3 linked regions of the Arabidopsis thaliana genome follow. The protein of the gene in region 3 interacts with the protein of the main gene of each other region in a pairwise test. Each region holds a gene or a part of one and is shown on either strand. Other genes may lie near its edges.

Region 1 (9,903 bases), on a different chromosome or scaffold from region 3:
CTGTCTATTCAATACATGTAATGTAAAGGCTTCCGGTTTTTTGTTGAACCATATAGTGATGCTTGTTGATCTCATGTAAGTTTTCCATCTATTACGCAAGATCTGTTATATGTTAACATGGTTAAGATTACCAGCACCAGTTATGGGGTTGAATCCATTCTTTGTATATGGAACATTGTTTCACTTAGATTGCTAAAGTTGTAGGAAGAGAAGAGTATGCGTTAGCATATAAATCAAATTGATCAAAAATGTTTAAACTGTTGTGATGTGAATATCAGAAGATAGCAAATCAAAATGCATTTATAACCCTGTTGATTTTACCAAAACGAAGCATTGGATGATGTGTGTGAAATGTCAGAAGATAATCAAAGATTATAGGAGTATATTTTTATATTCCGTTGTTATGCAGCTGCTTGAGAAAGAAGAATTTGTGGAGGCGGTAGTATCGCAGACTCCACTTGATTTAGAAACCACCATACATCTTGGCTGAGTTATGTAAAGACTTGGCTGATAGTTTTACGAGGTTTTTAGAATAATCAAGTTTAGTTCTGCGAATTTAGGTGACTAGATATTTTCTTGTGATTGAGGAAGTAATAAACACTCATTTACTTGTCCCTTTGATTTGTTGATTGAACTTTAGCTCAACTTAAAAGTGGTTAGCTTTGCTGAATCTGCCCAGTTATATTATTGTTTCCAGTTGATTGGAATTGGTTCACTATAGATTATGTTTTGTTTTTGGTTTTTATAAGCTAAAGGTTTGTTCTTTTTCATGGAAAGAACAATCATGAGATGTCAACATGTTATTGATCTTTAGAATCGTTTCATTCAATGGTCAAGTCATTTTGTAAACGAATTTGTTTTTTTTTCTTTGTCTTTTTCGACTTGGTTTCTCTGTAAGATTCTTGTTCCTTGAAGTGATGAGGTTTCTATTAGATAAGAGTTGATTAGAATGATATAATGTGCTCATGGTGACTCTCATCCTTGCACGTCCCTGTGGTTTATGAAAAGCCATATTGCTTTCCTCTTTAGCCAAATTGCGTGTTAATATCCTTCCCGTTGCATTTGATTCTATATCTTGTTTCTGTTTGATTTTTATGCATCTGTCACCTCCATGATAGTTTCTCTTGGTTAATGGCTGAAACAAGTTTAGTTTTGGATAGAGAATCAAAGAGTCTCTTCTTGTTCGTTTGTATCTTTCCTCTTGCGGTATATGTTGAAGAACTTTAGGGAAACAAAGTGAATGAAAGCTAAGAGTTTTTTTTATGACCAAAGGCAAAACAAAAAGTGAAGAATATTCCTTTGGAAAGTTTTGAAAGGGAAATACATATAGGATATTAACTAGGCGAATGGAATTTTTTCACTCATACAGAGTCATTTTCTGTATATATAACTTAGTGATTGTGAGTTCTCATATTGCTTCTATGTAACACTCCTTGTAAAGCTAAATAGCCCTTTTGTGCTAAGTCTCTGATATCTATTGTTATCTTCTCAATACTGCACTTGTTCAATGACACTTGCTAGCGATTTTGGTTTTCCATCCGCTATATCTTCATCTTTTACAATTCTAGAAGAGAGATACCACAATAACTTTCCTAACACTTTGTGTGTTTCATCAGGACAGGAATCGATGAATAACAACCCCGTCCCCTGTCAGGTGTTTCCTCTGGTCTCTGGTGGTAGTTCTGGTGGGAATTTGTTTTCATCTTCTTCCGGATTCTGCAATGGTGTCTATGTTTCATCTTCCTCCCAGGCACGGCCATCTGTTTCTACCGTGCCAAGAGACAGAATTACTGTTGCTCACGTCTCTGGTGAAGGGCAGAGGCAGGAATGCCCTGTGGAAACACATTCCTTGCAATTGATCAATCAACCTCAAGAACAGAAAATTATGACTTGGTCTTCAGACCAGATTCGGGGCTTCTTCGATTTTCCTGTTCCAGATCCACAAGCAGCGAGCAGCAGAACTATGGTTTCATCCAAGGAAGTGCTTTCAAAATGCGAATGGCCAGACTGGGCGGATCAGTTGATCTCTGATGATAGTCTTGAACCAAATTGGTCGGAGCTTCTAGGTGATCCTAATGTACTCAATCTATATTCAAAGGTTCGTTTCTTTCAGCTAAATATGAATCTCTACGCTTATTTCAGCTAAATATGATTCTTCTATTAAGACTGACTCTGATAATGTCTTACAGATAGAAACACAGTCTTCTGATATAGCAAGGCAAGAGATCGTCTTTAGAAATCAGCATCAGGTGGATCCATCAATGGAGCCGTTTAATGCCAAAAGCCCACCAGCTAGTTCAATGACATCTAAGCAAAGAATGCGTTGGACACCAGAACTTCATGAAGCATTTGTCGAAGCTATCAATCAGCTCGGTGGTAGTGAACGTGCGTATGCCCTTTTTTTTTCCTTCTCATGCCTGCAAAATTTAGCTGAACAACTTATTATTATTCTCTTGGCTTATAATTTCAAACCACAGGAGCCACCCCTAAGGCTGTTTTGAAGCTCATCAATAGCCCTGGGTTGACCGTTTATCATGTCAAAAGCCATTTGCAGGTTACTATTCTCCATCTATGTTTTCGGTTTGTATGCTTACAGCTCATCTTAAACGTCTTTATATTATTGGCTTGTCCAGAAATACAGAACTGCAAGGTATAAACCAGAGCTTTCCAAAGATACAGGTACTTGAGGCATCTAAGGATTCAAACTGTCTTCTCAATATTTCACATAAGCTTATTATACTTTGGAAACATAATGGCATTTAAAAGACTCTTGTGTGATGAAACACGTCTTTATACATAATCAGCTTTTCTTCTTGGACAGAAGAACCTCTAGTAAAGAATTTGAAAACCATTGAAGATATCAAATCTCTTGACTTGAAGACGTAAGGAACATTTTACTTCTCTGTCAGAACAGACTAAGTATCACCTAGGATAATATTTCTTCATATCTAAGATTTTTTTTTTTTATTCTTCTTCAGGAGCATTGAAATCACTGAAGCTCTCCGGTTACAGATGAAAGTTCAAAAACAACTCCACGAGCAACTTGAGGTATAATAATTCAAACTGCCTAAAAGAAGCTTTTATAAAACAAAACAGTGTCCTTTCCTCTTCATTTGTCTGATTTCTTAGTTTTTGGTTTTAGCTGGTGATTTTGATCTTATATTGGTCTTAATACAATGCAGATCCAAAGATCACTGCAGTTACAAATCGAAGAACAAGGTCGGTATCTTCAGATGATGATTGAGAAACAACAGAAGATGCAAGAGAACAAAAAAGACTCTACTTCCTCATCATCAATGCCAGAAGCTGACCCTTCAGCTCCATCACCAAACCTTTCACAACCTTTCCTCCATAAAGCAACCAATTCAGAACCATCAATAACTCAGAAACTGCAGAATGGTTCTAGCACAATGGATCAAAGTGAATCTACTTCTGGGACTAGTAATAGAAAACGGGTTAGAGAAGATTAGACATCTCATGAGTATGATCCAAAGATGTTGCAAACATATGTAATTGTGTATATAAAATTGAAAATATCACAGCAGCAAGAAAATGAAAATTTCTTCTTAATGGAGATGACGTGGACAAATCACTGTCGAGTTGGAATGTTGTCGGCTGATGAGTCAGCAATTTAGATGACGTGGCTAAAGAACATCCTTATTTATGACGTAATTAATAATGATCTCTCGAAATGCGTCTTTTCTTCGTCTGTTCTATCTTCTTTACCAATTTCTGCAATTCTGGAGAAGCTAAAGGTCTCAATCTCTCAGTCAAAAACAAAAGGTCTCTCCTTTATTAAACTATCTATCACTAACTAGAAGAAGAGATTAGAGGAGGAGGAAGAAGATGTTGTTTCAGGTGGGAGGTGAAGGCACACGCCCCACCTTCTTTGAGATGGCTGCTGCTCAGCAACTTCCTGCTAGCCTTCGCGCCGCTCTCACCTATTCCCTCGGCGTATAATGCCCTTCTCTACCTACGTCTCTTTTCGATTTTGAAATTTGGTACTTATCTGTATGATTCTTATATTTGTTTGCTGTTTCGTGATTTTTTAGGTTTTTGCTTTGAGACGATCGTTTCTCCATAAGATTTTAGACTATGAGGATGAATTCTTTGCTGCTCTGATGCTTATTCTTGAAGGACACAGCTTACGAACCACAGGTAGCTTCTGGATTCTGTTTTAGGTTTTGTGTGAGAGTGTACTGGAACTTTTTTGCTTATAACAGTTAGAGGTTTGTGAATTGTTTCAGATGGTTCCTTTGCTGAATCATTGTATGGTTTAAGGAGGAAATCAGCGAGATTGAGATTGAGGAAAGACAGTGCCAGGAAGGATTCTAGCGAAGAAGTTCAACATTCTGGTTTAGAGAAGCGTCAGAGAATCCTTTCTGTTGTGTTTCTGGTACTGACTCTTTCCTAAATGCTATAACTTTGTAAATGCGTATATGTTGAAAGCATAAAGCTTATGCCTTTAAGCTTGGTTACTGCCTTTTTCTAGGTTGTGTTACCGTATTTCAAGTCAAAATTGCATGCTATATATAATAAAGAAAGAGAGGCTAGGCTCCGGGAAAGTTTATGGGGTGCAGAGGATCAAGGATTTGATGAAGCTGACTTCTTCACAGGGGATGATTCAATTGTTTCAAGAGAGCCTAGTGGGAATGAAGAGCTTTCTGTTCGAGTACAATTAGCTACCAAAATTAAAAAGTTTATAGCTGTCTGCTATCCTTGGATACATGCATCAAGTGAAGGTAATTGTGGATTTATGTGAGCATCGACATTTCGACTGCATAGTAGCTGATGATTCTTTAACATAATTACGAGCACTTCTTAGTTTACACTGATTAGCTTCGTGCGTAGACTTCTATCTCTGAGTTTCATTGGCATGGAGAATTTTATTTGATCTGTATCATTTATAATGAGCTTATATGGGATCCTCTGTGTAGGATTATCGTTCACTTACCAGCTCTTATATCTGCTGGACGCTACTGGATTTTATTCTCTTGGGCTACAAGCTCTTGGGATTCAAGTTTGTAGAGCTACAGGGCAAGAACTGGTATTAACTTCCTCCTTTCTGGTTGAAATTTCGTGTCACCATTATCTTACTATGCACCCCATAGAATTAGGGCGCTTTGGCTTTGTTGGATGGTATTATTTAAAATTCTACATACATCTTGCTGCAAGATGTTATACCATCATTGACTGACCCATAAAAACCTTTCAAAGTGGTAAATTTACATGTGTTATGTCTTAACACACTTTTTTTCTTCGTCTTTACCTTTTTTGATGCCAAGATAGATGGATACATCCTCAAGGATTTCAAAGATTCGGAATCATGAGCGTGAGAGACTTCGTGGTCCTCCATGGTTAAAAGTATGATTTCACTTTTCTTAAACTTCATGTAACCTAAGGAATGAGATAGGCTGATTCCTACTACTGCTTACACTTTAGTGATCCAACGTCTGACAGTATTGTTTTGAATATTGAATTAGACGGTGCAAGGGGCACTTCTTAGCTGCTCATATGCTGTGCTTGACTATGCCCAAACCGGTCTAATTGCAGCAGTTTTTATCTTCAAAGTAAGTATCCATAAATGTCCCAGTTTATGTTACTTCTCTTATTTCACTGTCTTAAAAGCTTCCAGCAGAAGTAGGTTCCTTTAGGAAATGAAGGTCCTAAGCTTAAATTACATTAGATTAGATTTTGTATGCTACAGCCACCGCTAAATCCATAAAGCTTATTGCTATACTTATGGCGTTTTTGACTCTCGGTAGATTTTTCATCGCATAATCATTTAGTTGAACCTAAACATCTAGCTCATTTTCGTGTGTTTTTGGTTTTGTAGATGATGGAATGGTGGTATCAATCCGCTGAAGAGAGATTATCAGCTCCAACAGTGTACCCTCCACCTCCACCTCCTCCAGCCCCAAAGGTAATCAATCAGGTAGCATTATCTGAAACTTATGTAAACATCACTCAGTCGACTTTGTCAAAGTTTTTGTTTTTCTGTAACAGATGGCCAAAGAAGGAATCCCTCTACCTCCAGACAGATCCCTCTGTGCTTTATGCTTGCAAAAACGTGCAAATCCATCAGTTGTCACTGTCTCTGGATTTGTTTTCTGCTATTCTTGCGTATTTAAGTATGTTTCAAAGGTGAGTTCTCCAAATCATTACTCTCTATTCCCAAACCCCAACCTTGGTATTAGCTTATATCCGTCTTCTATGGTAATCACACAGTACAAGCGATGTCCGGTGACATTGATTCCAGCCAGCGTTGATCAGATTAGGAGGTTGTTTCAGGACACTTAGGACCAGTCTATTTAATGGTTTTAAGCCAACAGTGAGAGTTCCATCATCGTTCTCCCATGCAAGTTAGAGTCTGAACCAGAAGAGCTAAAAGACTGCCAAGTGAGACACTAATACCCCAATTGATTTTATATATATATATGGATAAGCTTTCATTTAGAGCTCACCAAGTCTGGGATCAAGTGCTTCTTGGATTGAAAGAAAGCTGTGTTAATCCTAATCAAAGCTGATTCTGATTAAAACAGAGAAGGCAGACAAATGGTTACTTTTTTCTTTCTTAGTTTCAGCTTCGAAATTGTTGTCTATTGCACAATGGGGGATGATATTATTGTTCAGGATGGAAAAATAAAATTTATATACTGATCAAATTTATAAAGAAAAGGATGGAAGAGATGATTGGAGTTCAAACTTTCATAGCTCATTATTGAATTAGCTTTGCACTTTTGCTCCTGAACCGAAAAAGTTTTCTGATTAATGTCAAAAATTTCAAAGTCGATTCAGAAATGGTTTAGGAATGCTGGGGGAGTAAGAGGAGTCAAAATCGAACCGAATAGAAAAAAAGGATTAATCATTAAGAGAGAACAAAGATGTTTGTTAAAGGAATTTCAGAAATAACATGACATACAAGAGCAATAAACAACACTACCAAAAGCCTTTTCTCAAGGCCACAATGATGGCTCAAAAAGTGAACATCTTTGAATCCAGCCAAAGCAAAACCTGAATGCAATGATTCAGTTACTCCGGACTCATCATTCTTCGGCTACATGATTTGAACGGGTACCCGAGTCACTAGCACCAGCGGCTTTTGTAGCCGCTTGTTTCTTCCTCCTGCTCTTAGCTTTCTTAGCTTTCATTCGACGTTTCTTCTCAGCTGAATCGATCCATTTGTAATCTGAAGGTATCAAGAAAGGGTCAGCCTCGTCTTTGTAACGGTTACTATCATTGTCACTTGATTTGCCACTTCTCATCCATGAGATCCATGATGGTGATGAGTTCTCTGAAGAAGACGACTTTGCATCATGAAATACCGGACTAGAAGGAGGTGTTGAGAACTCCTCCTCAGCTGCCTGAAGTTCTTCAAATTTGGTGAAAGTAACAACAACTCGAACCGTAGGAATAATGGGAATGGCGAGCTGCACATAAATTACCGATAAGAATAAACCCTAGAGAGTGATTCAATCATATCAGTAACATACAATTTACGAATTGAAAAAGATTTATACCTTTACAGGGAATGTGCCTAGCGGAAGTTTAGTTGTGAGAAGCTCTCTGAGTCTCCTAACGGCTTTAACCTTGTTAGCTAATATGTCAAGGAGCGGTAAAAGCTCGTCTGTCGTAAGAGGAAAGTCCGGTGTTAACCACAAGACCGGTCTTAGTCCTTTCTTGTATTCACTCTCACGCTTAACCTCATCTCCGGCAACACCTTTCTTCTTCTTCTTCTTCTCCTTTCCTTTCTTTGCGTCTCCATGATCCTCATTTGCATGATCAGATACCATCGAAGATTTCTGGCTTTTCCCTTTCTGGTTCCCGTCTTCTGGCGCAGACTTTGAGCCTTTCTTGAGCTTTGTATCTTCAGTGTTTGAGCCTTTCTTATTCCAACCAAACCAGCCCTTCTTATCCTTGAGAGCTCCGTTTTCCTGTTGATCAGTAACTTCACACTCTTCATCTTCAATGGCATCGGAATTTCCAGTCTGAAGCGCGGAATTCAATTGGAGTCTTTCCTCAGGTGTTAGTACGTCTTCAAAGCCGTCGGTCTCTGCACCATTTGTTACAGCAGTTCGCTCTTCATCAACCGCAAAGAGCTCTTCATCAGTCATTGCACCGGGAACCCGTCTAGATTTGACACTCACCATCACATGAAGCATATCGTAAACTTTTGCTTTCCAATTCCCAACCATCTCGGTTCTCTCTTGCCGTCTCCAATTCAAATGAGAAACCAGCTCAGCTTGAGTTACATCGATTCCAGGTCTATACATATTAGTCTGAGACATCAAAGCCACTTCATGAGCAACCTCAGCATCTGTTGGTTGCGCACCAGCTCCTTCCAAAGCATTTGTCATTTCTTTTTCCTTATGCGAAAGAACAATCAACGAGCCCGGAGATAGGGACATTTTACCATCTTCAGACGAGTAACCATCCCCTAGAAAGAGAAATGTTTGATCTGACCGTTGGATTTTAAACCCATCAAAACCAGCAAGAGTCATATCAGCACGGAGATTTGAACCACGTTTCCATATCCTGTAAGTATCGGAAGGAGCAATGCGGCCAATAAACGGAATGACCGAGCTCTCAAAATGAAAAGTGATCTCCATGTAAAAATCACGGATCCGAGATGCTGACGCAATGATCCGAGGAAGTCTCCTACACCATTTAGCCCAAGCAAGAGGCTGGTAATGCCGAGCAATTATCATGGCGATGGCCTCTTCTCTTGTGCAAACCGCTTCTTGTAACGCACTCCAACCATTCTCGTTCTGTAGACTCCAATCGGCACCAGCAGACATCAAAATCTCAGCAGAGACAGGATCTCTAAGACGAACAGCGAGATGCAATGGAGTTTCACGACCAGGAACATCACGGCGATCAATGACAGCTGAAACAGAATCAGCACGAGACTCAGACTCCATAGACTCAGCCTCAGTAGTAACTTCACCAGCCTTAGCTAACCGAGGAAGATCCGAAACAATTCGCCTAAGAGCAGCATGATCCCGAAGCACAACAGCTAAATGAGCAGGACTATGAGTATACTTGGAGTAATCTTCCATTGTTTATCCACAACACTCACTAAGCTCCAAAACAAAAAAGCTTTTCTGCTTTACTTCTCTCCAACCCTAATAGAAAAGGAATCAGATTCTTCCAGGAATCACAAACAAAACCCTAGAAACTCACCATATGAGCTCAAATTTGAATCCAATTCAAGAAAGCTTCCTCCTTTCTCCTCCTCAGAACATAAAGAAAAAACCCAAATTCCAATACACAAAAAGTAACAACCTTCACAACAAGCACAAGCTGTTCATCAAAAAAGTTGGAGCCTTTACAAAGAAAACACACGCCTTTTTCACTTTCGCTTTATCAAATTTTCGATTTCCTTGTGAGGAACAGAAAACTACCAGTGGAAGATCCGTTAAGCCGCTGGAGTTTTCTCACCAACCCGACCCGGAAACCTCAAAAGACAGAGAGAGGGGTACGAAGGAAGGAGCAATGGGGAAGAAGAAAGAGAGAGAATCGATCGGTGAACAATGAATGTTTGTAGCGATTGAGAAGATCTAACGGCTAGGTTCCTTTCTTCCACTTACGCCATTATTAATGCCACCACCACTACTCTCAGATCTATCTCTCTCTCTCTCTCTCTCTGCGAATTTTCTGGTCTCGCTCGACCAACAAGGGAGAAATATGGAACTACCCTTGACTTTACACTTAATTACGGTTTTACCATTTTTCATTTTTTCTTTTCTTTTGGGTTCGCTTTACGTCTGAATTTCCAGGTTGGACATTTCCACTTTGGATTCTTTTTAAGACACAGTTTCGAATAAAAAATACATTTGTTTTCATTTCTGAACCAAAGTCCAAAGATTTGCATTTACAATTTTTTAGCCACAAATGTATCTG
Region 2 (9,584 bases), on a different chromosome or scaffold from region 3:
GTTATGACGACACGTGTCAACTTTTCTTTGGCTGTATCCCCTTTCCTTTAAATTCTGTCTCCGTTGAATTCCGGATATATAGATTTAAGTTTGTGACTCCTCAAATTTCTCTTCTCTCAGTTGTTGTAGTATTAGTTATAACACTATCACATCTCAAAAATCTAATTAACCTATCGTCCACGTACATACAAATATTAATTGATGTTATAAGGAGGAGAATGTGAAACATATGAGAAAGTAAATACAAATATCATTCAAATCGGGTTCTTTGGCATTTGCGTCTTAATAAGCAGAGAACATGAGGCACGCTGATTGTACCTGCTCATGTACATAGAGATAGACAAGTCCCCCAATAGAGATGTTTATTTTTCCATCCCATTTTTTAAATTACATATAAATAAATATATAAGAAAGGAATGAGCTAGGCTTGATTCACAACTTTCGTCTTTTTTTGTTATAAAAGAAAGAAATACAAAGTCGTATAAAAAAAAGAGAGAGCGAAACAGGAGGAAGCAGCAACACGGAAAAGGTGGAGGAGAAAAAGAGAGTACTTGTTGTGGTATAAAGAATGAAGGAGTGAGTTTGTGTGTGAGTTTTATAAAAATAAAAAAGCAGGAGCATATCACACAAACAAACAACGTAGAAAGGGTTCGAATGACGAGTAATGGAGAAGGGGGAGAGGTGGTGGCGAAGAGGAGGAGGAAGGGAATTAAGGAGCTAGTGCAGGTGGCTCTCAGGGGAGGTTGTTTGGCTGCTTCAGCCACGGCCATGGCGGTGATGCTGACCGCTACTGAGGAGGGAGTGGCAGACATCTACGGCTTCAAGCTCACTCTCTCCTCCAACTGGTCTTTCTCTCCCTCCTACCAGTCAGTCTTCTTCTTCTTCGTCTTCTTCTTCTTACGAGCATTATAATTAGGGACAGACATAGCAATTAGAATTTTCTTTTTATCTGAATGCATATATATATATTATAATAAAAGAAAAGCAGCAAAACAGAATGTGTGTGTTCGGATGACAGATATTCCGGTGAACAGAAACACATCCGTGAACCAAACAACAACATGACATTATTGTGTGTCCTAGCTAGTTTTAAACTTTGTGATTATATATAGTGTATATTTCATTCATCTCACTAAGAAAGAGTTGTTTGGTGTTAAGGTATGTGGTGGGGGCATGCGCAGGGACCGTGCTCTACTCCCTGTTACAGCTCTGCCTCGGTGTTTACAGACTCGTCACCGGATCTCCCATCACGCCTTCCCGCTTCCAAGCTTGGCTTTGCTTCACCTCCGATCAGGTTCCTCGTCTCCTTTTCTCCATTCCCTTTTCTTCCGAATGTAACCCATTTGATTTACTGTGTGCACGCAGCTCTTTTGTTATTTGATGATGAGCGCTGGATCAGCCGGTTCCGGAGTTACCAACCTCAACAAAACCGGCATCAGGCACACTCCTCTCCCCGACTTCTGCAAGACCCTTTCTTCTTTCTGCAATCATGTCGCCCTGTCTCTCCTCTTAGTCTTCCTCTCCTTCATCTTCCTCGCTTCCTCTTCCTTCTTTACTGTCCTTGTGCTCTCCACTCCCTAGTCTCAATATTTTCGCTGCTTTATATAATCCAACAAAGACTCTACTTGCAATCCCAAAAACAATGTATTTCTCTTTTGAGTATTTCTCTGATGCAATACATTTAAGATGATGCGTTGTGATGAAATTACAATCATAATTTGGGTACAGAGACGTTGATCCCTAGATCTGAGAGATCCTTAGCGAGCGAATCTGCATTCTCAAAGCATAACCCACCCATCCCTATCTCTATAGCACACTTGACGTTGGTTGGCCTGCGTATCAGACACTCCTTCAGATCAAAATGGTTTCTTTCTTTTAAGTTATAAAGGCATTGAGTTCATGTTATAACCTGTCATCAATGAATATACAGTCGCAAGGTTCAACTCCGAGGTGTCCCACAACCTCGAGGTAGAACTCTGGATCAGGCTTTCTCTTCCCTGAAAGATATAACACATGAGGAGCTTTGTATGTAGTAGGAATGGTTTGGATCTGACAAGCAATAAGTAGTAAAAAGAGGCAAGAGATGTGTGATGTACCAGCAATACAGGAGCAAAACGTCCATGATAAGTAGGCAGAAAGCTTTAACTTGTCTTCGATAATGTTGTACCTATGGAAACACGACAAGAGTAAACAAAGAGACATGAAGCTCCGTTTCAAAGAGTGAAAGGCAAGGGATGGAAACCAGATGGGATAGTTAGTGAAAGCATGAATCTCGAAGTCGTCAGCTGCCAAAGTTTGAAGGAGCTCTTGCATGCCATCTAAGTAGGAGTAACCTGACCTCATGCACTCCTTAAGCCCTGCAATAAAGAGGATTGAAATAGGTACGAGGAAACCCTCTCTCTGTGTATTTACCTATCTATCTATATGGCAATCTCACCTTCCAAATCAAAATCCCTCCCATCTATAAAGAAGTTTCTAGCAAGCTCCTCCTAAAACCAAAAGTCAGAGGAGATAATATGAAGAAAAAAAGAAAGAAAGAGTGGTGGTACCTCACCTCATCAATCAAACCCTTTTCAAATTCGATCCAGACCATCGGGTGCTTGCACTCTAGTAGTTGCTTCATTGGCATTCTGATCCACAACCTCAGTTTATCATTGATGAATCGAGAAATAAATTCGAGGATTTCACTTTCTCACCCGAAGAAGGCCGGAACGTCCTGGTAAAAGGGGTCACGGACGATGGTGTCCATGACGTCGAAGAGGAGAATCGGAAGCTTCCTTTTCCGAGAGATTTCATCACCACTGCTGCTGCCCAGACAGCAAGAACCCGAGGCCCGAACAGGATTCTTCTTCCACATGTTGGGTTTCAGATTGATGAATTCCGCCGATGTGTGCATCGCCGCCGCCGCCATCAGAAACTACCTAGTTTCTAGTTCCGATCATCATCATTTGTAAATGACAACAGGGGAGTCGAAACGCAGCGTTTAGAGAGAAAATCGCAGAGGAGAAGGTGATTGGTCCACGTCAGTAATTAGGATGACGTGGTGAAGAAGAAGTGGCCCATGACTTGCAGCACGAAGGAGAATGAATGAATTAAATAAAAACCGTTTCAAATTCATCTCCACGACTCCTCGGCCTCGGAGAGCTCAACCGCCACTTTCCTTCTCCTTGTTTATATAAAGCAGAGCCAGCCACCTTCATTTTTACACACAACCATCAAAGCTACGTACGAATTCCTCTCAAACATACTATATACTTACAAAAGAACAAGAAGATGATGATGATGATGATGAGATCTACTTGTAATCTAACACTAATGCTCTGCATTTGTGCCCTTGTGGTGGCTTCCATGGCGGCGGAAGGTCCTAGGGATTTCAAGGTTGGAGACGAGTTCGGGTGGAGAGTCCCACTCCAGAATGATTCAGCGGTTTACAGCCACTGGGCCAGCAGCAACCGCTTCCACATCGGTGATTCACTCTGTGAGCTAGCTTGTTCCCAACTTGTGTTTTCTTTTTTTTATCATTCATGATCGGTAATAATTGATTGGTTTCTAATCAAAAATATGTCAGCGTTTGTGTACGACAAGGACTCGGTGATGGAGGTAGACAAATGGGGTTTCTACCACTGCAACGGCAGCGATCCCATTACAGCCTTTGACAATGGAAACAGCACATTCGACCTTGATCGTCCTGGTCTCTTCTACTTCATCAGCGGCTCCAACCAGCACTGCACCAGCGGCCAGCGTCTCATCGTAGAAGTCATGCATATCCACCAACACCATGACCATGACGCTTCCATGCCTCCATCCATGTCGCCTCTTTCTAATTCTGCCTCTCCCTACGCATCCGCATCCGCATCTTCTGCTGCCTCCTCCCTGCCTACGGCTTGTCTTCTTATTCCTCTTTTCTTAACCATTGCTAGCTTTCGTTTCATTTCTTATTAGTCAAATTGTTTCCCTTATAGTTCTTCTCCTCTTTTACTTTTCTTCATCTTTTTGTTTCATTCATCGAACCCTTATGGTATAATCCAATTTATGTTCTTCTCTGACATTTATTATAAGTTTTACTTTTCACTGTTCAAAACAAATCAATCAACAAACTGTGGAAAAAAAATAAAAAATCTATCAACAAACTACACAAGAGCATCGTTATTAATAGTTTCTTAAAACAATTCTTAAGTTAAGAGACAGTCTTATAATAGCTTATAATTAACAAAGTCTCATAAATAAGAGACTTTAATACAATTTTGTTAGATATAAGACATATCTCTTAACTAAGAGTAATGTTAAGAGATCATCAATAAGGATAATTTTATGTCGTTAGTACTAATAGAACCGGGCCCTAGAGTTTGTAACAGATATGGGCCTTTTTATTGCTATGGGCCTATTTTTGGTGATATGGGTCTTTAATACCATATGAGCCTTTTAAGACAAAATAATAATCTGATAAAAGTGGTGAATCAAGAAGACTAAACAATTTTGAAAGAAGAAGAAGAAAGGAGGAGACATGGATGAATCTCTGTGGGTGTGAGTGTGAGACAAAGAGAGAAAACAAACAACGTAGCTGTAGATTGGAAAAGACGGTAAGACCCTCGTCGGGCTTCATCAATAAACAACTTTGCCTTGTTGTCTATCGCCGGAATTACAAACCCTAGCCCTGCTACACCGCCAATGACGCCGTCTACGCCTGCAGACGATGCTTGGATCCGCTCTTACCAGCGCTTGCTTCCTGAATCGCAGTCTCTTCTCGCTTCCCGCCGGGTAGGTTCTGTCTCAGGGATGCTTGTTTGTGTCGTGGCTTGTTTGCTTATTATATGTGGTCTTTGATGGCAGTCAGTTATACCGGTTGCAATCTCTAGAGTGAATCAGTTCGACGCAGCACGACTAGATGTGGAAATGTCAGCCATGTTGAAGGAACAGCTCGTTAAGGTTTTCACTCTGATGAAGGTGAGCAGAGAGCTAACTTGATGCTTTCCTTGGCATTTTATTAAGCCATTTACTTTCTTTGGCATTTTATTAGCCAGGAATGCTCTTTCAATACGAACCAGAGCTTGATGCTTTCCTTGAGTTTCTCATTTGGAGATTCTCTATTTGGGTTGACAAACCCACCCCCGGAAACGCTCTCATGAATCTTAGATACAGAGATGAACGAGGAGTCGTTGCTCAGCACTTGGGGAAAGGTATTTTTTATTTTATTTTCTAAACACTCTTCTTCTGTCACCCTTTTTTTCTAATCACTCTTGTACTCTCGTATAGTCAGAACAGGACTGGAAGGACCCGGACTTACTTCTCCCCAAAAGATTTGGTACTGCGTTGCCTCCGTTGGTGGTCAGTACCTCTTCTCCCGTTTGCAGTCATTTTCTGCTTTCCGTAGATGGGGTGATTCTGAGCAGGTCTGTATGAGGAGCATGGTTTATTCTTTTTTTCTCCCGTTTGCAGTCATCCTCACGCCATCGCTATGGTTGATTCTTTTCTCCTTGTTTTGACTTGTAGAGACCATTGGCAAGGCGACTTTGGACCCTCGTACAACGAATCGAAGGCATCTACAAAGCTGCTTCTTTTCTTAACCTATTGTCATTTCTTTATACGGGAAGGTACAACTTGGTACATGGACTCTTTCATTTCCTCTACTTATCCTGATAAAACCACACTGCAGTGCAGTTACTTCTTATGACCATTTAAAATCTGATTCAGTTCATTGGTAACTTTTGAGTTCACAGTGAAATATCGAAACAAGAACCAAAATCACAAACAGAAATACCTTGATGATTCTCACTTCCGCTACTCTTCTTTTTCTTTCTTGATCCAGGTATAGGAACCTCATTGAAAAAGCTTTAAAAGCTAGGCTTGTCTATAGGAGTCCCCATATGAACCGATCTGTCAGCTTCGAGTACATGAATCGGCAACTTGTGTGGAATGAATTTTCGGTAGGTCTTCTCTGTGTGTTGCTTAACTAGTTCAACATCAATTTAAAAGTTTGGCAACCTGTCAGTTCTGAGTAGCATCCTTGGCTGATGGTTTCTGGCCTATGATTGATACTTGCTGGTCTCGAACATTTTCTTGAATGATAGTATCTATCAGCTTACCTTCACTTTTTCTTTGGAAGAAACACTTTTGCTGCTTGAACTTGAGCTGTTAAAAGCTGAAAACATATTGTGTCCGTATCTGGAATTCTGAACTATGTAGATCCTGTGACTCAACAGTTTCATTGGAGTACAAATACCTTGTCTATGTTCAAAACACTGTATTTGTCGCTTTTTCTCTCTTTCAGATCCTTCAATAGATCAAAACATTCTGTTTAGACTTGCTACCAGAAACGTAATGTTAGGATCTGATTTCCTGGTTCTGTTTTGGCATTCAGCTTTAAATTTGTTTGGTGATATTCAGGAAATGCTTTTGTTGCTTCTCCCGCTGCTCAACTCTTCAGCTGTTAAGAATATTCTTAGTCCATTTGCCAAGGACAAGTCCTCAAGCACTAAAGAGGATACAGTGACTTGCCCTATTTGCCAAGTGGATCCTGCAATTCCGTTTATAGCTCTGCCTTGTCAGCACAGGTATGGTATTTTTCTGTGCAAAAGTTTTGGATCAGAATAAAGTAGTTAACTCTCTCCCCAGACATGTACTATAACTGATTGTACTAGAAGCAAAAAATTTCACATGATTGTGTATCTGACTTTGGAGAAGACACAGAAGTGATTTTATTGACTTGTTGAATTCATAGTATGTGCTGTAGTTGTTACATACATTTAAAAGAATTGACTTGTCGCAGGTACTGTTACTACTGCATAAGGACCCGCTGCGCTTCAGCAGCATCGTTCCGGTGTCTTAGATGTAACGAGCCTGTGGTTGCCATACAACGGGAAGGTGTTTCAAGTGGCAAATGAATGGAGGTGACAAATTGTTGAGTCATGCCACCAAGTCTTGAAGAATAAGCAGATGCAATAGTGGAAGTGTAAAAAGCCAAGGCAAGCAGCCGAAAGCAGAGAAGAATCTGATAGGTGTTTGTTTGCAGACAGACTATACAATAAGGGAACATCATGAATGTGATGCAACAAAAAAATTAGATAGGTGCACTTCTGTACATGAGTTGAGAACCTACCATTGTTGAATGAAGTTTGGTCTTATGTTTATTACAAAATCAGTTGAAACGTTGGCTATACTCGAATGAATAATATCCATTTCCTTACATGTTGTTTACCTACTTACTACTCACTCCTACTTCCATATTAGGTACACGTTACTTGTGTCTCTCCAAGGAAAAAAAGAGAGCCAGAAGAATAATACGAATTCTCAGAATAAAGAGATCAATCACTGGGTGGAAGAGAGCAGACTGATTTCTATCTCTTGTAGGCTCTTTCCTTTAGTCTCAACCACGTTCTTCTGCACAAAGATGACTGCCACCACACAGAAGAACCCAAATATTGCATTTAGAAGCACCGAACCTAGTTGCTCCAGCATTCTCAGAAACAGCAGCCCGACAAAGAAGTTTATAACCTGTTGTAGCGTGTAATTCTCCAAGCTTATTATTATTTCAACATTATCGATTTCCTAAAAAAGTCCACAAAGAGAAAAAAAAAAAAAAAAAAAGGCATACCCAGTGAACGGCAAGACAAACAGCCAACGCAGTTGCTCGAAGTCGACCAGGGCATATCTCAGACAGGAGAAGACTTGGAACAGGACCCGCTCCAGTTGCAAACGACAACACAAACCTGCATTCGTAATCACACCCCTAGTTTATCAAAATAAAACATCCCCCTTTTCCAGTGCTGTTGTTGTGATAGAAAACTTACAGCAGCATTCCTCCAACCGAGAGAAACAAGGTTCCAAAGGGCGAAGGAAGCGAAGTATATGCTATTGCTTGGAGACCCAGCGATACTGCCTGTTAAAGATGATAAACATTTACATCTACATACATGGAGCGTTATTAAATATTAGCTGCGTAAAGTTTGATTCAAATAGCACTTTTTGCCTCAACAATTACCATGCCCGCAAAACTCCCAATAAGCAACACTTTTCTCCCCAGCTTATCCATCAAAACCACAGCAACAGTTGATCCTGTACAAGAGTATGAATGATGCTCACATTCGTTTTAAATACAGATCATCAACATGTTGAAAGGAAAGATTTCAGATCATCATCTTTGTGGTAAGAGGAAGGTTGTTCACTTAAACCAGTGATTAGTTTACTGTTCCTAATGTTGTGTTTGTATTCAGGAAGACTGCATTCACCTACTTGCTTATCTAGCTTATCATGAATATGATGGCCTTTCAAGCCATAGTAGAATGTACAAGAAAAAGTCACATTTCAATACCTAAGAGGTTGCAAACTCCTACACATATGTTTGCAGAGGCTGAAGGTACACCAGCTTTCTTGAAGACAGTTGATGAGAAATAGAACACAGCATTTATCCCAGACAACTGTTGTAAAGCAAAAAGGGTAGATCCAATGAAAACCACTGCAATCGGAGAAAATTTAAACGTAAAAATGAAGGTAATTAAGAGGCTACACATCATCTATATGTATGTTTTTGGCAAATGAAAATGTCATTTTTTTGGCTATGGATCCAGTTTAGCCACCTAACATACCTTCCGTGCAAATGATTCAACTTTTTGATGAATAAAAATCTAGATCTAATATTTCCGTGATATTTGACATCGAACTAATGCCACACATTTTCACCAATCTTGTTGGTTAAAGATCACACATACCTCTAAAACTGCGTCCAAAAAGCAACTCCGACAATTTGGCTGAATCGGCGTCATCTCCCCTATCCGACTTCACTAACTCTGCCATAGCAGCTTTGACGTACGACCCTCCCAATAGCTTCTCAAACACAGCTTCAGCTTCAGCTGCCCTTCCCCTCTACGGTTAAACAGAAAAAGAATCAACCAAAGAAATGGTTTATAAAAATCAAAACGTCTTTAAGAGCTATGCGGGTTAAAATTAGACAGTAACCTTAAAAAGCCACTGAGGACTTTCCACGCAGAGTTCCATGAAGACAGCAAGCATTGCAGCTGGGACTGTGGATATCCAAAAACATATGCGCCACCTACACCAATCAAGAAAGAGAAACCTATTCAACTAGTAATTCAGCCAAGTAGACCAAAGCATGTGATCTGCTAGTAGCTTAGAAACTCCAGGATTTCTTTCCCTACAAAGGCGGTTCTCATGTCAAAATCACTAATGAATTTGCAGCAAAAGATGAGGTGGTTCCTATAGAGTTGCAGCATTTTAACAAGGCACTAGAGATTCACATTGCATATAGGTGGGTTTGGAATAGACAACGGGGATCAAACATGCCACCTAAAGCAAGCAAAAAGGGTGAACTACCATGCGTTTGGAAGTCACAGATGGCACAGAGTTGCAATAATTTCAACCTCGAAGAGTTACAGGCCATATAAGCTGTTAAGTCATCTATTCCTTGAGTTCTTATCAACATCTTACCAGCCCAAGTTATCTTTTGCCGGGATTCCAGCAAACAGCGAACCTAAGAGTCCAATACATGTTGCGATTTGGGTAGAACTCCCATATGTACCTCTCACATAAGCAGGTGACACCTGCAAAGAGAAACTGTGAGTCTTGCTCTA
Region 3 (10,673 bases):
GATCCGTTCTCTGAAGCAGAAGTCTTCTTGTTTTGTTCTCTTCGATCCATTTCGTCAAGCAATCTACCGAACCGACTCAGAGCTTTTGAGTCTTCTAAATCTCTATCGAATTTTTCTAGGGTTAGGGCTCCTGATCGATTTCGCGAGCTCTGCGATTATTTTAAGTATTAGGATCCGAAATTAGAAATGGGTGGAGAGGGAGATTCAAGTCAGCCGCAGAGTGGTGAAGGAGAAGCTGTGGCTGTGAACATCAGGTGCTCTAATGGCACGAAATTTAGTGTGAAGACGAGTCTCGATTCAACGGTGGAGTCTTTCAAAGAGTTGGTGGCTCAGAGCAGCGATGTTCCAGCTAATCAGCAGCGCTTGATTTACAAGGGTCGTATCCTCAAGGACGATCAAACTCTCCTCAGCTATGGTAATCTTCATCGTTTCTGATTTATTCGTGTGGGTACTTTTGTTGTTCTCGTAGATCCTTATTGATTGAAATTCTTGTGGATTCTATTCTCTGTGGAACATGTTATACCTAGGTTTGCAGGCTGATCACACCATTCATATGGTTAGAGGCTCTGCACCTTCTTCAGCACCACCTCCTGCTCCGGCCGCAAGCCAAACCACTGCACCTAGTGTTACTCGAGGGGTTGGTTCAGATAATAGCTCGAATCTAGGAGGAGCGAGTCCTGGGGAATCTTTGTTCCCTGGGCTTGGATTTAATCCTCTGGGTGGTGGAAATGCTATGTCTGGGTTATTTGGAGCTGGTCTTCCGGATCTTGTGCAGACACAGCAACAACTAGCTCAAAACCCTAACATGATTAGAGATATGATGAATACTCCAGCCATCCAGAACCTTATGAACAACCCAGAGTTTATGAGGAGTATGATTATGAATAACCCTCAAATGCGTGAGCTTGTAGATCGCAATCCTGAGCTTGGTCATGTGCTCAATGACCCAAGCATCCTTCGTCAAACTCTAGAAGCGGCAAGAAACCCAGAGCTTATGCGTGAAATGATGCGGAATACTGATAGGGCTATGAGTAATATTGAGTCTATGCCTGAGGGATTTAACATGCTTAGGCGTATGTATGAAAATGTCCAGGAACCGTTAATGAATGCTACCACTATGTCCGGGAATGCTGGAAACAATACAGGCTCCAATCCATTTGCTGCTCTGTTGGGAAACCAGGGGGTCACTACGCAAGGAAGTGATGCTTCTAATAATTCTTCGACACCAAATGCTGGAACGGGGACTATTCCGAATGCAAATCCACTTCCTAATCCTTGGGGTGCTACAGGTGGTAAGTAACTGCATTTTCATCTTCTAATCTCCTGTCGATTTTATTTGTCTTTTGAAGGATGCAGTAATATTTTATAAATGAAAAAGTGGCTTGTTTATAAGAAATGGACGTTACTGTTCACTGCTCTGCTTCAGGAACAATATTGTGTATAGTAAATTGGTGAGTTAGTGTAGTTACCACAATTTGTTGTTATGTGTAGTTTTTGCATATGATTTTCTTGGCTTATTGTTTCTAATTTAACATTTACTCATAATACACTAAATATAATTGAACATATTGTGGGCTACTTGACAGGTCAGACAACTGCCCCTGGAAGGACAAATGTTGGTGGGGATGCGAGGAGCCCTGGACTTGGTGGCCTTGGTGGTCTTGGAAGCCTTGGAGGCCTTGGTGGACTCGGTATGCTTGGAGCGGATTCACCTCTTGGTGCGACTCCAGATGCTTCTCAATTGAGCCAGTTATTGCAAAACCCAGCCATATCGCAGATGATGCAAAGCGTATTTTCCAATCCACAATACATGAATCAGGTAGGCCTAGAATGATCTGAACTTAAGAGCCTTTTACCATTGTGAACATATATTAATTGTTTTCCCTTGATTCCAGCTTATGAGTCTTAACCCACAACTCCGAAGCATGCTAGATTCGAATCCTCAGTTGAGGGAAATGATGCAGAACCCAGATTTCCTTCGTCAGTTTAGTTCTCCGGAGATGATGCAGGTTAGTTTGTCCCCTATTGTCTGTATGCATATGAATTTTTAACATGGTAGTCTCTCAAAAGAAACATTTCTTTGTATCTAAGCTATTTTCAAGTAAAGAAGTTTCTTTTCTTTTTTTTTTTTGGGACAAAGTAAAGAAGTTTCTTAAACCTAATGTTTTCTATTGTTTTTTGGTCTTCAGCAAATGATGACTCTACAGCAATCACTATCTCAGAATAGAAATACAGCCAGCCAGTAAGTTTTGTTAAAACCCTTCGTTGTTTGGATTTGCTTAAACAAAGTTGAGCATTTACATGTCCTTTACATATTGTTTTTTGGGTTGTTTAGTGTTTAGACAATGTTGTAACTAGCTAAAAAGATTGGTTGTGAACGATCTCTATAATAAGAAAAGGATTGAACCATGACTAATGCAGCAACTCTTGTATGATTTACTGGGCTGATCACTAGTAACATCTATCAAAGAGGCTATAAATAAAGCATTTTAATCGTTGGAATACACTTGAATAGGGCTCATAACATTTTGTTTGTTTTTGATTATGCCTTTTAGCATAAGCTATGTGTGTTAATCTCCATATTTTGATTTTCATCAATCCGCATTCATGTTCCCAAATCTATCTTCTCTGTAGGGATGCGGGGCAAACTGGTGCTGCCACAGGTACTCTTAAAGATATTATATGTATTTATTCTACAGTAGTATAAAGGGTTTAGTTATGTTACGTAGTATAGCAGCTACTCTTTAGTTCTCTTTGCTTTCATGTATGTTTTATTTTAGCAGATATTGTATCGTATACAAGTTAATAGTAGAATGACAATACTGATGGGGACAGGAAATAACGGGGGGCTGGATTTATTGATGAATATGTTTGGCAGTCTTGGTGCTGGCGGCCTGAGTGGCACGAACCAATCCAATGGTTAGAGACTACAAATTTTTTTTAGCTTACGCATCTGTTGTGATGGTTCCACTGAAACTTGTCTGTTTGATTCCAGTTCCTCCTGAAGAGCGGTACGCTACTCAATTGCAACAGTTGCAGGAAATGGGATTCTATGACAGAGCAGAGAACATTAGGGCGTTGCTTGCAACCAATGGTAACGTTAACGCTGCTGTAGAACGACTCTTGGGGAGTATCGGACAGTAGCATACAGGTTCATGAACTGATGTCTCTCCATCTGGCTTCTCAGTTATAGAATAAACAGCTTGAATGTGTGTTTTTCAGTAATGATATATTCATCGAATTCATAAAAATTTATATATGATAGGATCGTGAACTTTGTTGATAGAAAAGCCGCATCAATACGGTATTTGTTATCAGTGGTCACTCTTCGTCTTTAACTACCCTTAAACCTATATATCTTGGGTGTTTATCTTTGATAACTTATTTCAAGTTGTTACAACATACAACATCTGTAAATGTTTATAGACATCAAAGTGAAATTGAACCCATTAAATTTTTGGTTCCTTCTGATCCGGTTCAAAGGTTAAACCAAATTGCCCAAAGAGAGAAGTGGCATGTTGCAAAGGAATATCCAATTAGTTGATTCATCATCTTCAATTAGATTCAAGTTACAGCCAATTCCTTCCTGAACTATATACCAAATGCCTCAATTTAGACCCGACCCGGCCCAATCTTACCCAGTAAGAGTCGTCGATACGTTCTCTGAAGCGCAAGTCATTTCTGGATTCTCATTTAATTGGCCGTTCGGGGCCAAATAACTCTTTAATTTTCTGCAGTCTCATTTGTTATTCGACCAAAAATAATTTATATCCCTTTCCTCAAGAAATCTTCAGAACCGACTTATTAGAGCTTCGAGTCTCCTCAAATCTTCTTCTACGATTTTTTCTTCTAGGTTTAGAGCTTTTGATTCTCCGATCAATTTCGCGATTTGTTGAACTAGGATCTGAAATTAGAATGGGTGGTGAAGCAGATTCGAGGCAGCCGCTGACTGCTGAAGGCGTAGCTGTTGCCGTGAACGTCAGATGCTCCAATGGCACGAAATTTAGTGTGACGACGAGCCTCGATTCCACGGTGGAGTCTTTCAAAGAGTTAATTGCGCAGAACAGCGATGTGCCGGCAAATCAGCAGCGTTTGATTTACAAGGGACGTATCCTCAAAGACGATCAGACTCTCCTCAGCTATGGTAATTTTCTGATCATTTCGTGTTTCATTTCTGTTGTTCCGTTGCTTTAATTTGACTGAAAATCTCATAGGGTTTCTAGGGGGTTGGAACATTGGATTTATGTTAGGTTTTTACAGAAGCATGGATGATTTTATGAGTTTTGATGTATGCTTAATCCTTCTATGGGAAGAATAAGGAGATGTAGTTAGTGATACGATAATTGATTCATACCATTCTTAGAGTTCCTAATGTTCTCATGATCATGTATCTTCTTGGGATGTATATTTTCTCCATCAATGGCTGTTGTTGATATGATTGTGTTGGATAGTTTCCACGTTTTATTGTTTTGCATCATGAGCCTCAATGTTTCCTTTCTCTGTGGACCATTTTATATATAGGTTTGCAGGCTGATCACACCGTTCATATGGTTCGAGGTTTTGTGCCTTCTTCTCCTTCTGCTCCCGCTGCAAATGCTGGAAACCAAACCACTGCTCCTCAAGCGGTTGGTTCAAATGATAGCTCAAACCTCGGAGGAGGTGAATCTTTGTTCCCTGGCCTTGGATTTAATCCTTTGGGTGGTGGAAATGCTATGGCTGGATTATTTGGATCTGGTCTTCCTGATCTTGAGCAGGCACAGCAACAACTAGCTCAGAACCCTAACATGATTAGAGAGATGATGAATACTCCAGCCATCCAGAATCTTATGAACAACCCAGAATTTATGAGGAGTATGATTATGAATAACCCTCAAATGCGTGAGCTTGTAGATCGCAATCCTGAGCTTGGTCATGTGCTCAATGACCCAAGCATCCTTCGTCAAACTCTAGAAGCGGCGAGAAACCCAGAGCTTATGCGTGAAATGATGAGAAATACTGATAGGGCTATGAGTAATATTGAGTCTATGCCTGAGGGATTTAACATGCTTAGGCGTATGTATGAAAATGTCCAGGAACCGTTAATGAATGCTACCACTATGTCCGAGAATGCTGGAAACAATACGAGCTCTAATCCATTTGCTGCTCTTCTGGGAAACCAGGGGGTTACTACACAAGGAAGCGATACTTCTAATAATATTTCGGCACCGAATGCTGAAACGGGTACACCTAATGCAAATCCACTTCCTAATCCTTGGGGTGCCACGGCTGGTAAGAAACTGTATTCTCATCCTCTTAATTTCATATGGGATTTTACTTGTAGTTTAAGGTTGAAATATTAAATATAAAAGCAAGAGTGGCTTGTTTTTAAGAAGTGAAAGTTTATGTTTACCACACTGGTCAGGAATAGTATTGATTATAGTAATAATTGGTGAGTTCATGTTCTCACAGTTTGTTGTTATGACTAGTTTGTCTATGAATAAGTTTCTTGGCTGTTTGTTTCTAGTTTAACTGTTACTCGTAATGCACTAAAGATTTTAGAACATATTGTGGGGCTACTTGACAGGCCAGACAACTGCCCCTGGAAGGACAAATGCTGGACTTGGTGGTCTTGGTGGGCTTGGAGGCCTTGGTGGACTCGGTATGCTGGGAGCGGACTCACCTCTTGGTGCGACTCCAGATGCTTCTCAATTGAGCCAAATACTGCAAAACCCCGCTATGTCGCAGATGATGCAAAGCGTACTTTCCAATCCACAGTACATGAATCAGGTAGCGCCTTCAGTAATCTGAATTTTAGACATTGTAGCTATTGTGAGGCTGTCTTTAATATTTTAATATTTCCTTCATTTCCAGCTTATGAGTCTTAACCCACAACTCCGAAGCATGCTAGATATGAATCCTCAGTTGAGGGAAATGATGCAGAACCCTGATTTCCTTCGCCAGTTTAGCTCTCCCGAGATGATGCAGGTTAGTTGGGCCCATGTTGTCTCTCCAGATAATTATTTTTATATCATTCAGTAGTCAAATTTCTCCGACCTAATGTTTTCTATTGTTTTTTGGTCTTTTTAGCAAATGATGTCTCTACAACAATCACTTTTCTCTCAGAATAGGAACACGGCTGGCCAGTAAGTTTGGATACCCTTTTCTGTTTTCTTTAGTTGGAACATTAGTTGAGTAGGTAATGTCCTTTATATATCATAATAGGATTTTGGGTTGATCTGTGTTTAGAAAATAGTGTCACTAGCTAACCAGGTAATTCTCTCGGTGGTGAACTATCTTATATTAAGTAATAAATGGGTTGAATCATTAGTAATGCAGCAACTCTTGTATGTTTTACTGGGCTGATCATTAGTGACCTTTATCAACGGCTGTAAAGTATTTTAGTCCTTGAAATAAACTTGAATAGGAGCATAAAAATTTTCGTTCTTTTTTGGTTCTTTCCTTTAACATTTGATATCAGTGATCTTGATTTCCATCAACCTCTATTCATGTTCCCAATCCATCTTCTTTGTAGGGATCCTACGCAAACTGGTGCTGCGACAGGTACTATATTATCTGTAATTGAAGTATGAAGGCTTCAACTAGTTCACTTAGACAGTGTGCTTTTTTTTGTTCTTTTGCTTTACTTTAATCGTATATTCATTACGTTGCTTATTGAGTAAATCACTACTATGGAAATATTTATAGGGACAGCCAATAACGGAGGACTAGATTTATTGATGAATATGTTTGGCAGCCTTGGTGCTGGCGGCCTAAGTGGCACAAACCAACCCAATGGTTAGATTCACTAGGGGCTATACTTTGATTTCTTATATATCTATTGAGATGGTTCCACTGAAACATGTCTATTTGATTCCAGTTCCTCCTGAAGAGCGATTTGCGACTCAGTTGCAACAGTTGCAAGAAATGGGATTCTACGACAGAGCAGAGAACATAAGGGCTTTGCTTGCAACCAATGGTAACGTTAACGCTGCTGTAGAACGACTCTTGGGGAGTATTGGCCAGTAACATACAGGTTCGTGAACTGATATCACTCCACTCTGGCTTCTCAATTATAGAATAAACAATGTGTTTTCTTTCAGTAATCTAATTTATGGAATTCGTATAACTACATTTATGATAGGATCGCGAACTTGTGGATAGAAAAGCCGCTCATCGATACACTATTTGTTTTCAATGGTCATCTTCTTTCCTCTTTACCCAATCCCCACAACCTTTTTTACATACTTTGGGTCGTCTGTTATCTTTCAGATTCTATTTGAAGTTGTTACCTCGTACATCTGTAGAAGTTGATTTCGAAATGTGGAATGGTTACATTTACGTTTTCTTATCTCCATTTTACTTATTAAATATAGCTGTAGTGACGTTGATAATTTGTGATTGAGCGTTAAGTTTTTCATTCGAATAACAAAGATAAATACAATAATAATTGAAAGAAAAACAAAACTTATGAGGAAAACAAAAAAAGAAATGTAAATCCGACAAAACAGGGAGAAGTAACTGCTAAGAAACCGTCGATGAAAACTAACTTGTTCTTCTTCTACTTAACCAACCATAACTCCCACTCTTCTACTTTTTTTTTTCCTCTCTTTTAGTTTTTCTGTCTTCTCTCTAGTAAGAGACTCAATAATAATGTCGAACACTTCAAACTCCGATCCCAATTCCGATATCCCATTTGCTTCCTCCAATGTAACTCTTCCTAGTTACAATCAAAACCCAAGAAGAAAACGTACTAAACTCACCAACAACGAAGTCGGTTCTTCTTCGTCTTCTCCAAGGCCTAAACCGGTCACGCAACCGGACCCTGATGCTTCACAAATCGCACGACCATGTACTGAATGTGGTAAACAATTCGGGTCACTGAAGGCACTCTTTGGACACATGAGATGTCACCCTGAACGTCAGTGGCGTGGCATCAACCCTCCTTCTAACTTCAAACGTAGGATCAACTCAAACGCTGCGTCATCATCCTCGAGTTGGGATCCATCTGAGGAAGAGCATAACATAGCCTCCTGTTTACTAATGATGGCTAATGGTGATGTCCCAACCCGTTCAAGTGAAGTTGAGGAACGGTTTGAGTGTGATGGTTGTAAGAAAGTGTTTGGGTCACATCAAGCGTTAGGCGGACATAGAGCAACACATAAAGACGTCAAAGGATGTTTCGCCAATAAAAACATAACCGAAGATCCTCCTCCTCCACCTCCTCAAGAGATCGTTGATCAAGATAAGGGCAAGAGTGTGAAGTTGGTCTCGGGGATGAATCATCGATGTAACATCTGTTCTAGAGTGTTCTCCAGTGGTCAAGCGTTAGGAGGTCACATGAGATGTCATTGGGAGAAAGATCAGGAAGAGAACCAAGTCAGGGGCATTGATCTTAATGTTCCTGCGGCGACATCTTCAGACACAACGTTAGGTTGTTCCTTGGATCTTAGGTTAGGACTTTGATATATGATAACTTAAGGTTTTATATATTTATTGGGTATTTGGTTCTTTCTCTTAATTAACAAAAAACTCTCTCTGTATATATGTGTGATACTTTGTATGATGAACGTATAGGATTGTGGTATTGTATTCTATATATAAGTTAATTAGTTTATGAAATGCAAATAGAGTTATTTACTAAATGTCCAATATTCAAGAAATTAGCTTTATGAAGTTTAAAACGTTGAATCTTTTTCCCTATGTAAAAAGTTTATATTGTTTGATCATACATGTATATGTATCATGCATGGATTATGGTGTTTCTTCACAGTGTCAGTACACTAAGTGAGAAAATCAAGATTCTTCTTCCCTAAAAATGTTGCTTCGAGAAGAGTTACTTTGTTGAAGCTATTAGCAGATTCAGGGTGGAAGTTGTTGTTGACTCGAAGATGATGCCACATCGTGCTGCTTTGTTACTTCATGCATTTCAGAAGATGAAATCTACAAGCAAAAAGATTTGGTTTTATAACATGAATGCGAAAAATCTTCAGGGATGAAATTATTGTAACAGTAAGCCTCCTTACTTCTTTTTTAGCCTGCAAGGCTTTAAGTGTTGCAACAAGCTTTTTAGTGATGCCATTCTCTATATAACCCTTCCACTGCAAACATTCAGAGGCGAGTTTTAAAACTATAGTAGCTTCTTCTGTAGAGAACTTTCCCTTCAGATTTGGATCCATGAGCTCAGTGACATCCTTTCCATTGATCATCTCAGGAGCCTAGAAACAGAGGATAAATAACCACTCAGTAAAATGTAACTTGTGTTGCAAGAAACCAAGGATTCCACAAAGTCAAGCTTGAACAGAATTACTTACATGGCTCGGAGAAATTTGCAATCCAGTTAGCAGATTCACAAGGATAGTACCAAATCTGTATGTCACATTCCCAGTCCTCACGTTCCCTACAATGAGAATATAAAACATTACATTCTGATATGAATAGTCTGAAGATACAAGAGCGAATTGGTTACCTCCTTCTCTTCGATTGTAACGGATGATCTCTTTCACCAAGCCGAAACTAGAAAGACAGGCATCACCATCCTTCAACACCAGTAAAAACAGTTTAGCATCCTTAGATCACATGACAAGGCATAGGCATGAAAAATGTTGTTTAACATACCTTATCAAACAGAACAGTGTAAGCACTTAGATTATCGTACTCGTCAAAACGTACAGAATTGCAATAATCCAATGCTTCAACTATATGATACGCCACTCGCAACCTCATTGACCATTCCATGTTCTTCTCTGTGCATCACAAAAGAAAAAAGAAACCTCAAACAGAGAATGCTAATAAGTTCTGTTTCAATCAATTCTACAAGCAGATACATTTACACCATTCTATAGCATGTCACATAAACCAACAACAATGCACTCTCTCTATCTTCAGATACGTTTATACCATTCTACACCCACAATCATGCCACAAAAACCAACAATGCAGCCTCTCTGCCAAGATTCAAAACAGAGCACATACATCTATAGAACAGATCGACTAACAATCCAGACTCTTAAGCTCATATTCACCAATTCTATATCTGAAAACGAAAGAAGAGAAGGAATCATACCCTGGAATAAACGCTTAGCAAGAGTATCATTTGGCATAAACTCTGCAACAAGAAGTCCTTCATCTTCCTCGCAGCAATATCCCAACAACTTGACAAGTCTCTTGTGCTTTAGCTCCCCAGCTGTTTTTGCGTCTTCCTGAAGAAACAAAAGAGATCAAATGAACGTTGCAAACTTTGATAACCTTTAAAAGCAAAGAAAAGGTACCGTGAAGTAGTCAGGATCATCCCAAGGCGTATTCTTGAATCTCTTGACAGCTACGAAGCCAAGATTCTCTAATAAACAACCTTTGTAGACAACATTGGAAGATTCTTCTGCGTTCTCTGATATGATCTCGTCGGAACTGAAGTTATTGGTCGCCGTGGTGATATCGGAGAGGAAGAACTCTGTGACAGGCCAGTTGACGAATCCGTCGTTCTTGCGTTCGCCGGGAGGAATCTGTGGCTGTTGTGGAGGTTGTTGATTGTTATCAAGAGGCGTCGAGAAGCAACAACCACCCATGGTTTCGTTTTCGCCGGCAAAAGCAGAGAGAATATTGAAAGCGTTCTTTGCGAGAGAGAAAGAGAAAGAGATTGTTATCACTAACAAGTGAGTTTACACAAAGGAAAGAACCTTTTATAACAGACTATTATC

Evidence for each region.
Region 1: the proteins of AT2G17190 (region 3) and PEX12 interact in a two-hybrid assay, tested with the Arabidopsis thaliana proteins (one study listed by BioGRID).
Region 2: the proteins of AT2G17190 (region 3) and TED3 interact in binary tests that used the Arabidopsis thaliana proteins (3 or more experiments, as listed by UniProt).

What each region holds. Positions count from the first base shown.
Region 1 is NC_003074.8:1,182,795-1,192,697, forward strand, and holds PEX12 (peroxin-12), read left to right. Parts: upstream 1-3,689; 5' UTR 3,690-3,846; coding exon 3,847-3,954; intron 3,955-4,052; coding exon 4,053-4,158; intron 4,159-4,247; coding exon 4,248-4,396; intron 4,397-4,492; coding exon 4,493-4,742; intron 4,743-4,937; coding exon 4,938-5,047; intron 5,048-5,289; coding exon 5,290-5,364; intron 5,365-5,483; coding exon 5,484-5,570; intron 5,571-5,836; coding exon 5,837-6,144; intron 6,145-6,228; coding exon 6,229-6,247; coding exon of another isoform or gene 6,248-6,300; 3' UTR 6,301-6,714; downstream 6,715-9,903. Other genes in the region: AT3G04450 (Homeodomain-like superfamily protein), read left to right, coding at 1,508-2,098, 2,190-2,385, 2,478-2,554, 2,634-2,679, 2,822-2,882, 2,979-3,048, 3,183-3,470; AT3G04470 (Ankyrin repeat family protein), read right to left, coding at 7,047-7,430, 7,521-9,059. UniProt on the Arabidopsis thaliana protein: Component of a retrotranslocation channel required for peroxisome organization by mediating export of the PEX5 receptor from peroxisomes to the cytosol, thereby promoting PEX5 recycling.
Region 2 is NC_003070.9:30,015,276-30,024,859, forward strand, and holds TED3 (Pex2/Pex12 N-terminal domain-containing protein / zinc finger (C3HC4-type RING finger) family protein), read left to right. Parts: upstream 1-4,468; 5' UTR 4,469-4,668; coding exon 4,669-4,758; exon of another isoform or gene 4,759-4,762; intron 4,763-4,830; coding exon 4,831-4,944; intron 4,945-5,017; coding exon 5,018-5,177; intron 5,178-5,253; coding exon 5,254-5,390; intron 5,391-5,490; coding exon 5,491-5,591; intron 5,592-5,806; coding exon 5,807-5,924; exon of another isoform or gene 5,925-6,384; coding exon 6,385-6,551; intron 6,552-6,766; coding exon 6,767-6,881; 3' UTR 6,882-7,211; downstream 7,212-9,584. Other genes in the region: AT1G79780 (Uncharacterized protein family (UPF0497)), read left to right, coding at 655-866, 1,159-1,294, 1,366-1,581; FHY1 (Haloacid dehalogenase-like hydrolase (HAD) superfamily protein), read right to left, coding at 1,712-1,832, 1,910-1,997, 2,097-2,357, 2,438-2,489, 2,555-2,630, 2,697-2,911; ENODL7 (early nodulin-like protein 7), read left to right, coding at 3,274-3,478, 3,569-3,942; SGB1 (Major facilitator superfamily protein), read right to left, coding at 7,306-7,491, 7,592-7,706, 7,788-7,876, 7,979-8,052, 8,309-8,452, 8,706-8,859, 8,953-9,046, 9,442-9,554. UniProt on the Arabidopsis thaliana protein: E3 ubiquitin-protein ligase component of a retrotranslocation channel required for peroxisome organization by mediating export of the PEX5 receptor from peroxisomes to the cytosol, thereby promoting PEX5 recycling.
Region 3 is NC_003071.7:7,474,604-7,485,276, reverse strand, and holds AT2G17190 (ubiquitin family protein), read left to right. Parts: upstream 1-3,586; 5' UTR 3,587-3,915; coding exon 3,916-4,144; intron 4,145-4,521; coding exon 4,522-5,268; intron 5,269-5,563; coding exon 5,564-5,766; intron 5,767-5,850; coding exon 5,851-5,964; intron 5,965-6,066; coding exon 6,067-6,122; intron 6,123-6,511; coding exon 6,512-6,540; intron 6,541-6,684; coding exon 6,685-6,774; intron 6,775-6,856; coding exon 6,857-7,005; 3' UTR 7,006-7,012; intron 7,013-7,120; 3' UTR 7,121-7,432; downstream 7,433-10,673. Other genes in the region: DSK2 (ubiquitin family protein), read left to right, coding at 187-415, 528-1,292, 1,587-1,819, 1,896-2,009, 2,190-2,242, 2,635-2,663, 2,836-2,919, 2,996-3,144; DAZ1 (C2H2-like zinc finger protein), read left to right, coding at 7,630-8,442; AT2G17170 (Protein kinase superfamily protein), read right to left, coding at 8,839-8,919, 9,003-9,194, 9,291-9,376, 9,446-9,515, 9,595-9,722, 10,043-10,178, 10,248-10,541. UniProt on the Arabidopsis thaliana protein: Binds and presumably selects ubiquitin-conjugates for destruction. Prefers multiubiquitin chains rather than single ubiquitins, with a binding affinity for 'Lys-48'-linked ubiquitin chains.